3 linked regions of the Caenorhabditis elegans genome follow. The protein of the gene in region 2 interacts with the protein of the main gene of each other region in a pairwise test. Each region holds a gene or a part of one and is shown on either strand. Other genes may lie near its edges.

What was found. Proteins that work in one complex are often made in the same cells at the same time.
Region 1: the proteins of dnc-6 (region 2) and ncl-1 interact in a two-hybrid assay, tested with the Caenorhabditis elegans proteins (one large-scale study listed by BioGRID).
Region 3: the proteins of dnc-6 (region 2) and rei-1 interact in a two-hybrid assay, tested with the Caenorhabditis elegans proteins (one large-scale study listed by BioGRID).

The regions. Positions count from the first base shown.
Region 1 is NC_003281.10:7,718,237-7,722,842, forward strand, and holds the start of ncl-1 (RING-type E3 ubiquitin transferase), read left to right. Parts: upstream 1-1,554; coding exon 1,555-1,580; intron 1,581-4,606. UniProt on the Caenorhabditis elegans protein: Translational repressor that inhibits protein synthesis.
Region 2 is NC_003279.8:3,166,574-3,171,748, reverse strand, and holds dnc-6 (Dynactin subunit 6), read right to left. Parts: upstream 3,557-5,175; 5' UTR 3,538-3,556; coding exon 3,524-3,537; intron 2,655-3,523; coding exon 2,481-2,654; intron 1,744-2,480; coding exon 1,497-1,743; intron 734-1,496; coding exon 626-733; 3' UTR 519-625; downstream 1-518. Other genes in the region: Y54E10A.6 (B3/B4 tRNA-binding domain-containing protein), read right to left, coding at 4,316-4,528. UniProt on the Caenorhabditis elegans protein: Part of the dynactin complex that activates the molecular motor dynein for ultra-processive transport along microtubules.
Region 3 is NC_003281.10:4,096,344-4,100,157, forward strand, and holds rei-1 (Guanine nucleotide exchange factor rei-1), read right to left. Parts: upstream 1,848-3,814; 5' UTR 1,786-1,847; coding exon 1,667-1,785; intron 1,509-1,666; coding exon 1,125-1,508; intron 1,073-1,124; coding exon 973-1,072; intron 917-972; coding exon 785-916; 3' UTR 560-784; downstream 1-559. Other genes in the region: C03C10.7 (uncharacterized protein), read left to right, coding at 1-44, 94-203, 403-559. UniProt on the Caenorhabditis elegans protein: Guanine nucleotide exchange factor for Rab GTPase Rab-11.1. Spatially and temporally regulates the distribution of Rab-11.1 to target membranes during embryogenesis. Plays a role in cytokinesis, probably by targeting rab-11.1 to the cleavage furrows.

The DNA.
Region 1 (4,606 bases), on a different chromosome or scaffold from region 2:
TCTAACCTTCACATAAATTTTCTACAGTAATCTTTTGCACATGAATTTTCAAGAAGTGAAAATTTATATGAATTGTGGATTGCCAAATTAAAATTTGATACGATTACATTTTTATAAACTTTCACAATTGGTTTGTTTTAAAAAAATAAGTTTTTCTTGATTCTCTAACTCCTCTATTAGATCAATGATCTCTTAAAAGTGACCGCCCGTTTTCCACCCCAATTCCTCATTCCCACTCTTCTCCCGCACACGCATACATACCGCCCATCTCTATCTATCACATTCTCTCATTTTGACACACTGTTTCGTATGTTGTTTGTTCCAAAAAGTGTGTGACGGGTGGAAAACTGATGTGGAAATAGTGTCTTTTGCCCCTCTATCTTTTTGAAATGATAATAACTTTTTTCGAGAGTTTTTTGTTTTACTTTTTATTTTTTGAATTTTGATCGATTTGTATAAGTTGTATCTAATCTTGATCTAGATTTAACAACATTCATATTTCCCGCCAAATGAATTTTTAGGCCTAAAATTGTTTCCTTGGCAGCAGAATGTGTAGGCCAAAAAGTTATATAGAAAGATAGAGTTGACTCTAAAAAATTTTTAAAAATTAAAATTGTTGGAAATTATTATAATTCGTTAAACTTCAAACGGCTTCTAAAATTGTCACAATTGTGTGTGGGAAATTTAATGTGTTAGGGAAAACATTTTCCGCGCAAATTTGTCAAGATTAATTTTAGCATTTATTTGAATGATTTGCAGAATTTAAAGTTCGAGCTTCTCCGCTTTGCACTACTGGGCAATTCACTGAGCATAAAACCGCGCTTGCACGGTTGCTCTCCCCTTCCCGCCTCCACGCCTTTAAGAAGGTAGAAAAAAAATATAATCAAAAAAAAATATACAGCAACGGTTCAATATAATTGTAACACCGAACAGCGAGGCGGGCGATAGGAAGGCGAGGAAAAAGGCGCCATGTCGCCTCACCCTGATGGATTGCCAAATGGTAGTCAATGATGTTTGCATAATTTTCTTGATTCGTGGTATTTACCGAACTTGTACATCATACTTCACGCGAATTTTTGAAAATTGGTATCAAGATGGACCCTTCGTAGTTTGTCCCACATTCGTGTAAAACTTTTCTAGAACAAGACAATTTAAATTTCGTCCAAAAACCGAAACTCTGAAACAAATCTACCCAAAAATACGAAGTAAAACCAGTAGGAAATCATCAAAGTTCTGCACTGTTTGCACACAGTTTTCAATTTTTCCTCAATTTCCCTCTGCGTCTCTGACCATCTCTTAACTCTTCTTCTTTTCCCACTGTCACTTGACTTTTGTGATGTGACACACATATTTCCTATACGCTTCCCTCTTTCACCCACAAAAAGTTTGAATTCTGTAAATGATTTTTAGATCTCTTCCGGAACACTTTCAAACCGTCGATTTCAAATAACTGTTTCATACTAAAAGTTGAGGGAAATCTTGATTTAATTTCAGAAGCCTGCTCTACACCTGCTCTTCAGAGGAGATTCCACAGAAAGCCTCATCCAGAAGACAATGATTCCGTATCTAGAAATTTGCAGGTCAGTTGTTTTATTCAAAAATTAAACAATTTTAAACAAAAGGTTCTGACTATTTTCTAGTCTGCGTTTTATTCTAAAGTGTAATGTTTCCTACTTTTCCTAAGTCTCTCATTGTTGAACCTTCTTAATGATTTACTAGCTTCAAAAGAACGAAGCTCAAGGAACTGTTATACACAGTTTCAGAATTAAAAATAATCTAAAAATCGACACGAATTAAATGAGATCCTTCACAAGGAGAATAAACTGTGGGACGTCCGTCACATGTTCTGTTAAAAGTGAATTTTACTGAATTGGATAGATATCGAATCTATAAAAATCAATGTGTTAAACTTTTGCAAGTTTCAGTTTAAAATCAAAAATAAAAAGCTTCTCAAATAACGCTCTGTGGCAATAATAATTTTGAATATTCAAACAATTTCAAGGATAATAGGAACTTATTAAATATAGTTTCCCAGTCTCCTAGTCAAAATACGATTCACCCAATTTCCCTGACCACTTTCATAAAATTAGCCGAAATTGTTGTAGTGTAGGCAGTGATTTTTTCTGCTGCCTCAAAACGTTCAAGGAGTACTGTAGGTTTTTCATTTTCCGTACCGCCTGCTCTGTCAAAAATCCACATTAAGTGTTGATAAAATCGTTTTTATCAACGCGTTTTTTGCTGATTCCAACAAAATATTATGATAGCAAGAATGCTTACTTTTTTTTTCATTTTTCAGTTTAGTTCCTTTTCTTCGGCGAAAATGTAAATTTTGGTAGCTTCTCAAACAATGTTTCTGATAATTTGTACGTAGGGTTCCTACTCGGCAAAACGGCCTAACTTCATAGCATACTCTTGCAACTTCTTAAGAACAATTAGGCATTTTAGCTTTTAAGCAAACTTCTGCAGCTTTTCAGATGACTTTTGCAATTTCTTAGCAGATGTAAAGCTAAATTTCGCTCACAATCCCGTTGGTTTTCGCAACTTCTTGACAGCTTTTTACAAAGTTATATGAATGTTTTTATTAAGTTGCAGGAGTTTGCTATGAAGTTGCGACGTTTTGCCGAGTATAGAGATCATTAGAAGAAATGTGTATTGTATCCATTAATATATATATTTTTAGTTAATCCTCTCTAGTTTCACGAGAAAATCTGCTCAAAAAAAGGTCAAAAAACGGCGGTGATGCAGCCACATGACTTCTCTTCAGTTTTCTCTAGTTTCTCTTTTCGCATGGCTCAACAGAAGCCCATTGGGTCATTTTTTGCGCCTCTCTTTCTCTCCTCCAATCGCCACGCGTCTTTTGTGTCGTTTTCATGTGACTCTGGACGGAGGAGAGCACCGATCCATTTTTTTGATTGGAATAGGGGTGAAGATCTTGTGGTTGGGAGAATCTAGTTTGGTCGCAATGTTTTTTTTTTCAAAAAACTTTTGTGAAGCGTTCTAGAAAGCTTACTTCTGATGTGATGTTTCTATATTTAAAATCATAAAACATAGGTAGCCTGTAATATTTTCATAAATTTATTTTTGATGCAAAATGTCTTTTAACAATTTGAACTTTAAAAAACCCGTTTAAGCGATATATGAAAGCTCTCGCGCCTCCGTGGAACGCCTTGTTTCTAATTACAATTTAAAGCCTCTTTTAAAATAATTGAAAATCACAGCTTCTCCATTTTCCTCCTCAGTTCAATCCAGTTCGCTTCACCACTCCAAAAGTCCAAACTAAATTTGAAAATAGCTTTTGAAACCCAGAGACTCTAGAGAATCCGTCATTTTTTGTCCCATTTTTTTCGCACTTTCTGCCTAGAAGGTGGGTTTCGACCATTCATCATATTGCATAAAACAACTCTCTCTCTCTCTCTTGTTTGTTTGCCATTCCGATGCAAACCGCCCGTTCCTCTCGATGTGACGAACTGAATGAGAGAACGGCATAGTTAGTGTATGTGGCAAACGAAAACGACAATTCTTTTCCCCTTTCTCCAGCATTTTTTTCGCCCAATTCTCCCTCTTCCCTTTTGCCCCGATTGGTCTGATTTTTGATCGGCTCTCTGTTCGTGGTTCTGCGAGTGCATCTAGATGTAAGTTAGATGTAGATGAAAGTGTTTGGTTTTGCACTGTGTAATTTTTATAAATTTTGATTCACGGATGTAATCATCCCTGGTTATACATCATCAATTTACATGATTTTTTTAAAATTTGCACAATTTAGTTTCATCTGTAGAGTATTTTCCACACTGTAACCTATATTTTGCAGTTCTCAATTTTTGGTATATCTGAGAAGATACAAATGCCTAAAGTAAAAAACCTTCCATTTCAAAAATAGCAATATAAACTTTTACTGAATGCGCTAGAGGCTTTTCGGGGGTGCCTCTCACCCTTGTTTTCACGTTTCGCCTTGAAATAGTCAAATTTATCAAAAATTTGAATTTTTAAATTTCAAAGCGGAAAAGTTGTGTTACAATTAGAGAATGTAAAATACGATACTTTTTTTTTGCATAACTATAGCTTTTCAAAATCAAGACACTAAGGCATTTTTATAATCGTAAAACTATGAGTATTATTGTATTTCGAATATTTGCATATGCACAATATTGCGCAAAACTTTAAACAAGTTCCCCCAACATTTATTTTATGTTTTCTGAAACCAAGGCAACGAACTGAAAATCAGAGAACCGGTCTATCTGTTCGTTTTTTAAAATTCGAGTTTCTTCTCCTTAAAACCAATCAATTTTCTCATCTTCTTTTCGTAACGATGGCAGGCAACACAGCGGACAAAAAAACGAACGGAAATGTTGAGAATCGGCACGTTTTCGTTTTCGCCTCTCTAGAGAAATAGCGCTGGATTAGACTAGAGAAATCGGACATGAACCGAAAAAATTCATGGGATGGGCGCCAGAAATATATATATCGATGAATTCTGTCCCCTTTTCCTTTTCGATATGAAAGTTAACGATGGCAGCTGTACCAAAAAAAAGAGGGGAAAAACTGACTTTTCGACGATAAAAAGAGGAAGTTTGGAGGATGGAAAGGGAAATTTGAAGTTTAAATATAA
Region 2 (5,175 bases):
AAATAGTGACTCTGGCCGTTCCCCAAAAATAGTGACTCTGGCCGTTCACCAAATTTAGTGACTCTGACCGTTCACCAAATTTAGTGACTCTGGCCGTTCACCTGAGTAAAAGATAAAAAAGTAAAGGACCCAATTGCTGGCATTTTGAAAATGTTCAATCAATTTCTGAGAAGAAAGCCGACAAATTTTATGAAGACGACACAATCCTTACATGAAAATGTTTCTGTTGGCATAACCAAAATTTTAATAATTGGATAAACTTTGAGATGTTCCTCGAAAAATAGTTGTTTTCTTTCTCATCTTTTCTCCAATCCAAAACGATTTCTCTGATTTTTATTGTTATATGGCTTAATTTTTTAAATAAAAAAAAAGGGAAAATTTCTACGTCCTAGATCGGAGTTAGGACGTTCCGAGTCGGAACTTCCGACACGATGTTTCGCAGAGTTACCTCCATTATTTGCTGCTTATTTTTTTGTTGCTAATTGTTTTATGATTTCAGCTGAACGTGCTCCTAGAACAAAATAATCATGAATTTTATTTATATTTTGTGAGAAATAGGGGACAAAAAAATATCCGACATAAATAATTGCAGTTAAAATGCGAGATAGGTTGAACCAAAAGCAGGTTATTGTGCAGCAGAAGCAGAAGCAGTAGCGACGGCCTTCTTCTTCCCGTACAAATGATGATATGATGGTAGGATTTTACGCAGGAATTCAATTTGGTGGGGCGATGTCTGAAAATTCCATATTTTTAGGTTTACTTTCATTTAGAATAGGTAACAAATTGCCGGTTTTCTGATTTGCTGGAAAATTTCATTTCCGCCAATTTGCCGGTTTGCCGGAAAATTTAATTTCCGGCAATTTGCCGGTTTGCCGAAAAACTTAATTTCCGGCGAATTGCCGATTTGTCGGAAAAATTTATTTCCGGAAAATTCCGGCTATTTGCCGGAAAATTTAATTTCCGGCGATTTGCCGATTTGCCGGAAATTTTCAAATTCGGCAAATTAGCGGTTTGCCGGAAAATTTCATTTCCACCAATTTGTTGGTTTTCCGGAAAACTTAATTTCCGGCGATTTGTCGGTTTGTCGGAAAAATTTATTTCCGGCGAATTCCGGCTATTTGCCGGTTTGCCGACTTGCCAGACAATTTCACTTCCGGCAAATTACCGGTTTGCCGATTTTCCTGAAAAATCATTTACCGCCCACCCCTGACACTTGATCCGTGAATTTTGCACAAAAAGCAGCGGCGCCGCACAGAAAAAGAGGCGGAGCGAAAATTCGCAACCATGCAGCACTGTTTTTCACTTCATTTCAAAAAATTTCCAATTTTACCTGTTTTATTCAATTTTTTTCATATAAAAAACAATTAAACATGAAAACTGTGGGAAATGGGTGAAAAAAAGAAAGAAAAACTGTGCCGCATGGTTGCAAAATTAAGCTCCGCCTCTATTTCTGTGCGGCGCCGCTTTTTGCGAAAAAAAAGCAGCATTTCCCGTACCATATTCGGCGTTTTCGTCGTTCTACTCAAATTCGTGGCTGCATAAACAGACACAGAAGGTTCCAGATTTTGATGGGAAAACACTGTACACTTGGCTCCAACGCTACAGTCATCTGAAACGGAGCAACCGTCTTCGAGCACCGCATGCACACCAATCACATTCCGGCTTCCAACGTATTTTGCACTGGATTTCGAGTGGACTTGAAAGATGTTCCAGTCACCGATTATCATTGGTTGACCGTCGCTGCTGGAAAAAAATCGTTTTTTTTCTCAAACATTGCCTAAAAATTTTTCTGTTGAAATGGAGATTCTTGCCGAATTTGCCGGAAAAAACCTTGCCGGTTTACCGATTTGCCGGAAATTTCAAATTTCGATTCCGGCAATATGTCGGTTCGCCGTAAATTTTCAATTCCGGCAATTTGCCGATTTGCCGGAAATTTTTATTTTCGGCAAATTGCCGGTTTGCCGGAAAAATTAAATTTTAAATTCTGCCAAATTGCCGGTTTTCCGGAAATTTCAATTCCGGCAATATGCCGATTTTCCGCATGCCGGATATCAGCTTTGCCGGAAATTTTCAATCCCGGCAAATTGGTGGTTTGCCGGAAAAAATTAAATTTATAATTCCGGCAAACTGCCGATTTGCCGGAAAAATTACATTTTGAATTCCGCCAAATTGCCAGTTTGCCGGAAATTGTTATTTTCGGCATATTGCCGATTTTCCGCATGCCGGAAATTTTAAATTCCGGCAACAAGTAGGTTTGCCGGAAAAATTAAATTTTAAATTCCGGCAACTTGCTGATTTGCCGGAAATTTTCCATTCCAGCAGATTGCCGATTTATCGAATTTGCAGGAAGTGTTCAATCCCGGCAAACTGGCGGATTGCCAGAAAAATTAAATTTAAAATTCCGGCAAACTGCCGTTTTTTTCCGGCAAATCGGTAAACCGGCAATTTGGCGATTCCTGTATCATATGTTTTGAACATACTTATTCCGAATAACTGCGTATTCTTCAAAAATATTATTTTCTCCAACATAAATTGGGCCTTTTGTGGCGTCGAACACTACAAATGGATGGACGACGCAGCCTTCTTTAATTATAACTTCTCCTTTTATATCCGCTTCGACGCAGACGATTGCACTACTGGCGATGGATACTGTGCTGAAAAAATTGCAATTTTTTTCGATTTTTAATTTTTTTTCTTTCGATTTTTAACGATTTAATTTTTAAAAAATTGAAATTTTAATTTTAAAATTCGATTTTCTAAAAAAAATCGAAAATTTGGATTTTTTATTATTTTTAATTTTAAAAAATTCTAATTTTAATTTCAAAATTCGATTTTCTAAAAAAAAATTTGGATTTTTTTTCGATTTGCTGACAAGAAAGTGGAAAATTTTGGATTTTTTTATTCTGAAATGCCTAAAAACATCTCTTTTTTCTTTTTTTTTCAACAAATTCTGGAAATTTTTTTTTACATCAAAAAAATCCGAATTTTCCAAAAAAATTGTACAAATTTTCAGAAATTACGTTTTTTGAAACTTTTCTAACGAGAAAAAAAAAGCTTTTTTTTTCTTTTTTGGTTTTAATTTAAAAAAAAATGAAAAAAAAATAATTCGATTTTCTAATTTTTTGTTAAAAGTTCCAAAAATTCCAGAATTTCAAAAAAAATTTTTAATAAAAAAACTGTGTTCCTTTTCTTGGAATTCCAGATTTTCTAAAGTTTTTTACTGGAAAATTCTGGAAATTTCTGTTGCAATTTAAAAAAAATCCAATTTTTTTTTTTGAGATAAAAAAATTTGAAATTTCAATTTTAAAACTAGACACTCTAAAAAAATTTGAAATTTCAATTTTAAAACTAGACACTCTAAAAAAATCGAAAAATTTCGATTTTTACCTGAAATTCTTTAAAAAATTTCAGAATTTGTTTTCCAGAAAATTCTGGAACTTTTCAAAAAAAAAACAATTGTTTTGAAGAAAAATCTAAAATTTTCCACTTTTAAATTTAAAAAATTAATTTTTTTCCAACTCACCTAGTTTCAGTCATTTCTAAAATCCGTTTCTTTCTGAAAATTGCATTACTTCTCTCGACAGATTGCACAATTTCTCGCCACAAATATTCCATGGTTTTATATTCAAAAAAAAACCAATTGGAGACAAAAAAGAGAGCGAGAGACAGGAAATAGTCATTTCCCACGACAAAAACGATACTTTTATTCTAGTGTCAGCGGGGGAAATCGGGGAGAAACAACAAGAAACATGGTAACAACAAAAACAAAATAATTAGGTGAAAAGGAAGGAAAAAAATCCAAAAAAAAAAAACTCAAAAATTCCAAAAAAAACCGACTTTTCGGCAAAATTGAGCACTGTGACCAATCAGCGATTCGCTCCGCCCACTTTTCAACCAATCAGGATTTTCGGCGCAATTCTACTGGTTGTTCCAACATTTTTCATTGAAAATTAGTGTCAAGATATGGAAATTTACTATCAAAATGTATAAATCGATCTTTGAATTTTGCAAAAATTGTTGCCCGTGCGGCAGTGTTGCGAAAGCAAGCTCCGCCTCAATTTCTGTGCGACAAAAATTTTTGCAAAATTCAAAGATCGATTTATACATTTTGATAGTAAATTTCCATATTTTGACACTAATTTTCAATGAAAAATGTTGGAACAACCAGTAGAATTGCGCCGAAAATCCTGATTGGTCAAAAAGTGGGCGGAGCAAATCGCTGATTGGTCGCAGCGCTCATTTTTGTCAAAAACTCTGATTTTTCATTTTTCTTTCGGGGATTTTCTGAATTTAAGACTATTTTTTTGTCAAATTTTTAATTAGATATCCGGGAGACTCCTGGAAGGTCATTTTTGTCGGGATAAATTGAAACAAGTGTATCACTGTCGACAACTCTGACTTGATCAATTGAAAGAGTTGGGAATATCTGACGACTTGAGAGAATCAGTTCATCCATTGTCTTTTTACATGCTTCCAGTGATTGTTTCGAAGATACTTCTACCCAGATGCTCGTGGTATCCACAGTTAGCTGAAATTTTTGTTTCCAATTTTAAATACTAGAAATTTTTAATTTTTATTACTATATCACAAAATTCTGAGAAAATGCGTATTGCACAACATATTTGACGCGCAAAATATCTCGTTGCGAAAACTACAGTAATTCTTTAATTGACTACTGTAGGTCGATTTACGGGCTTCGCTTTTTGAAATGAGTTTCTGTTCGAATTGTGGCAGCGGTTTTAATTTTCGTCCAATTTTTCTTCTTTTTTTTTAAATTTTCATCAATAAATTACAAAAAAAGAGTCAAAATCGCTTTACACTGTTTTTCTTGTTAATTTTTCAATAAAGTTTGAGTTTTTCTTGTGTTTTTCTTTTTTTCGAATGAAAATGCTATCCAATTCGAAAAAAGAGAAAAAGACCAGTGAAATTGAAACTTTATTGAAAAATCAACAAGAAAAGCAGTGGAAAAGCGATTTTGAATCGTTTTTTTGTAATTAATTGTTGAAAATATAAAAAAAAAGAAGAAAAATTGGACGAAAATTAGAAAAGGCCACAATTCGAACTGAAACTCATTTCAAAAAGCGAAGCCCGTAAATCGACCTACAGTAGTCATTTAAAGAACTACTGTAGTTTTCGCTACGAGATATTTTGCGCGGTAAATATATTGCCCAATAC
Region 3 (3,814 bases), on a different chromosome or scaffold from region 2:
TTATTAGGGAATTGAGCAATAATCGGAATGATATAGAAATGCCTGTAATCTCTTCAATTAAGTGAAACAATAATATGACACAAATATTTTTAGAGCATTCCAAAGCTTGGCCGGCGTGTGAACAATTTTCAGTATTTTAAATGGGATTCTGATGAAGAAATTCCAATTATTCCAGAAGAAAGAAGACCCGCTTCGGTTAGCAGGTGAGAAATTGAATTGTTAAATAAAAGAAAAATCATGAAAATTTTGAAATTGACAATTTTGTGCATTCTACCGTCGCGGTGTATGCGTACTTGACACTATATATGACGCGCAAGTTGCAAGTCAACGAAATTTCGATTTTTTTTAACGTCTCAAAATTTCAAAAAATTACAATTTTTCAACAATCTATTTCACCCTCAGATTGCCACCAGCGACAAGGGCATCCACTCTTTGTGAGCTATGCACATTGGCTTCACGATTGCTTGATAAATCCAGTGCTCCGACAAGAAGTGCAGCGTGTGCACACGTAGATGCTTTTGTGGGCACTTCATCGTCTTCTCATTATCACAATTTTTAATGTTTCAAGAAAATTGTTATTAAGCACCAGACGAACACAAAATAAAGAGATACATAGAGAAAATGAGGAGCAAAGAGAAAGGGGATTGAAACCCGTAAAAATACATTTTTGGTGAAGTTGATTGGGTGTGGAACGTGAGTACAAGTGAGATCGAGATTTCGAAACTTCGTGAAAAATCTAATATTACACGTGGAAAATTGAGAAGAAAGGGTGTGGCTCAGAGTATCAAGAGCTGTCGGATTCTGCATCACTCGAAGGAGCCAAACTGCTTTGCGAGGAACGCTCCTGATGAATTTGATCGCTGATCTGCTCTAAAGCTCGCATCGAATCACTGTAGCTGTCTTTTCGTTCTTGTACCTGGAAATTAAAAATTATTTTAATCTATATACAGTTTTATTCTTATTAGTTCTTACTTCATGCTCCAAAATTGACATTAACTCAAGTTGAGAATTCATTGTTCGCGTCAGAACTTCTTTTCGTTCGTAATAGGGCCGGGATTTTTTGATGGCAGATCTGAAATTCGGAAAATATATTGTCAGAAAATTGCCTGATGCCTGAAACTCACCCATTTTCCTCTAAACATTTCCTTAAAGCCATTTCCAACTGTAACAAATCCCTGACACGTGATGCATGACACTTTTCAGCTTTTAAACATTCTCCCTCAGCTTCTTTAACCAATTCCAACTGTTGCTCAATCACATCAACATATTGTTTCTCTGCATCCAATTCTTGATTGTTATTCAATGAATTATGCAGTATTTGCACTTGTTCTCTTGCCATTTCAACTGAAGTTTTTTGTCGTTCAAATTGAGCTGCCGCTTGTTGAACACATCTTCTGATTTCCGATTCGCGGCTTTTCAAATCGAAAAATTGACGGGATTTTGATATGTGTTTGGCCAACTTTTTAGGGATTCCAAGCATTTCTTTGTTGAACATTAGTTGGGTTTCACTGAAAATATATAAGATTATTTTAGCATCAAAACCAGATTTGGTACGATTTTTTGCGAATTAATTGGTTAAGAATGACTAGTGCAATAAAAGGTTTCCAGTTTTAGACGTGTAGCGATTAAGCAATTATTTTAAAATAAAAAATGAATTAAAACTCACCAAAACTGTTTCTTGACAGTTTCCAACTTCATCTCATAACTGTTGATGTCATCTGTTGCATTATTTAAATTTTCAAGTTGTTTGCGAATCGATATTAATTGATCGTCCCCTTCCGTCATTTTTAATGTTTTATTGATTCTGAAATCGAATTGTTCGAACGAAAATTACTAGAAATGAAGAGAATATGAGGAGAAAAGATGAGAAAATAAATTTTTTAAAATTAAATTTGCAAATTTTAACGTGAGGCAAAACTGTGCATTTTTACGTGATGGTGTTTGCAGATCGTAATTTGAAATTAATGGCGGGAGTTTTTCAGAAATTATCAATTCGACTTACAAAAATGGCTAAAATGAATGAAATTTGGACAATTTTCTCAATTTTAGTTGTTCAGGGTTAATAGCAAAAATCAGCTGCAAAAATGGCCCTCGACATGACATTTTTGTTGAAAACAAATGGGTGTGCGCCTTTAAAGAGTACTGTAATTTCAGTATTCATTGATTTTTCATAGTTTTTGGTTGAAAATAAATTTACTTATTAAATAATATTACTTTATTAATAATTAAGATAATAAAATTCAAAATTATTCGATTTAATAAATTGTGAGATCAACTATGAAAAATCAATTAAAATCTGATCAGAGAGCAACGAAAGCTTTAAATTACAGTATCCTTTAAAGGCGCACCCCCGTTTGTAAATCTCAGAAATTGCCTTTTCGCGGCCAGGTACCGTATTTTCAGGGCAAAAATCTCAAAATTTTGCGTCTGGGTAATATTCGAACCTCATAATTTTTTGAGAATTTCGAACTTGAAACCATTCTAGAACAAAGAAAACGAGGAAACGGAGAGTAGAACTATTTCAGATACGGTTTTCATCGGTTTTTTGGGTTTGAAGGCCGTGCAAACGACAAGCGGGGGTAGGAAAAGTGTGGGGGACGACGGAGAAGAGAGAAACAGAGACGGACGGTCGGGATGGACAGTGTGAATAGATTGTGGAGGGCAAATGGGCCAATTATACCGAAGGGGAAATATATTGAGGGGCACACAATTGTGGACTGTTATATGAGCAAAATTGGTGGAAGGTGGGGGAAGAGTTGAGTCGCCTCAGTCCTCAAGAAGTACTTTTTTGAAACATATTTTTTTAAAATTTTTTTGGGGCGATACCCCTCAACTGCAAAATTCCGATTAATTGCAACATTTCTATTTTTAAAATAAGAGAATGTCTATTGGGAAGTGGAGCAATCCACGACTGGATTATCGGCCACAGTCCCCGGCTAGGACGTGGCTTAAAATTACAGCCCAGAGGATCACCACCAGGCAGTGTACCTGAATCCCAGATCCGCAGTGCATAGCACTTGAAGAACCGATCGTCCTTTAATCCTTTAATCCTTTAATCTAAAAATAATTTTTCTTCAGTCTGACAAAAAACATTTTTAGAAAATTTTCAGGTTTTGTCAAATGATAAAACGATTTCGCTGATAGTTTTCAATTCATCTAATAATTGAATCGAAAATCGGAAAAACGCGCAAATTTCAAAGCAAAATGATGCTTCCGGGTCTCGACGCGAGTGAAACTTTTCAGCTACAGTACCCATGAGTACGGTAGATGATGATTTTCTTGAAATTTCGTTTTTTCCAAGCATATTTGACGGGATTTCGATAAAAAATATAATTTTTACATCAAGAATATCAAAAGAATTGAAAATTACAACAAAAAATAAAGGGTACGGTAGCGGAAAATTTTCATTCGTGACAGGAGCCAATGTGGCAATTTTACTTGACAAATAGCGAATAATAGCTTTTATGAGTGCTATCTGAAGAAGTCTAGGCGCGTGAGCTTTAATAGGATTTGCGGGAAAAACATCAGGGAGGTGTCGAAAAAACGGGGACAGTTTTTGTGGTCGTAGGGGTGTGTGGGGGACGACAGGTTGTGGATGACGTTGTCTTTTTCATCTTCTTCTTCTTCCGATGAAGAATAAGTGAGAAAATTAGAGAAATAGACAGATACTGATCTATTTTCTCTTTTCTATCTTTCTCTCTCTCTCTATCTCTTTTCCCTATGACCAGGAGAAATTGATGATTTCAAAGGAGAAGAAAGTACGAAGTTGTCAAATTTTTAGTGGGTGTCGTCGGACATGTGATCACACTTTTCA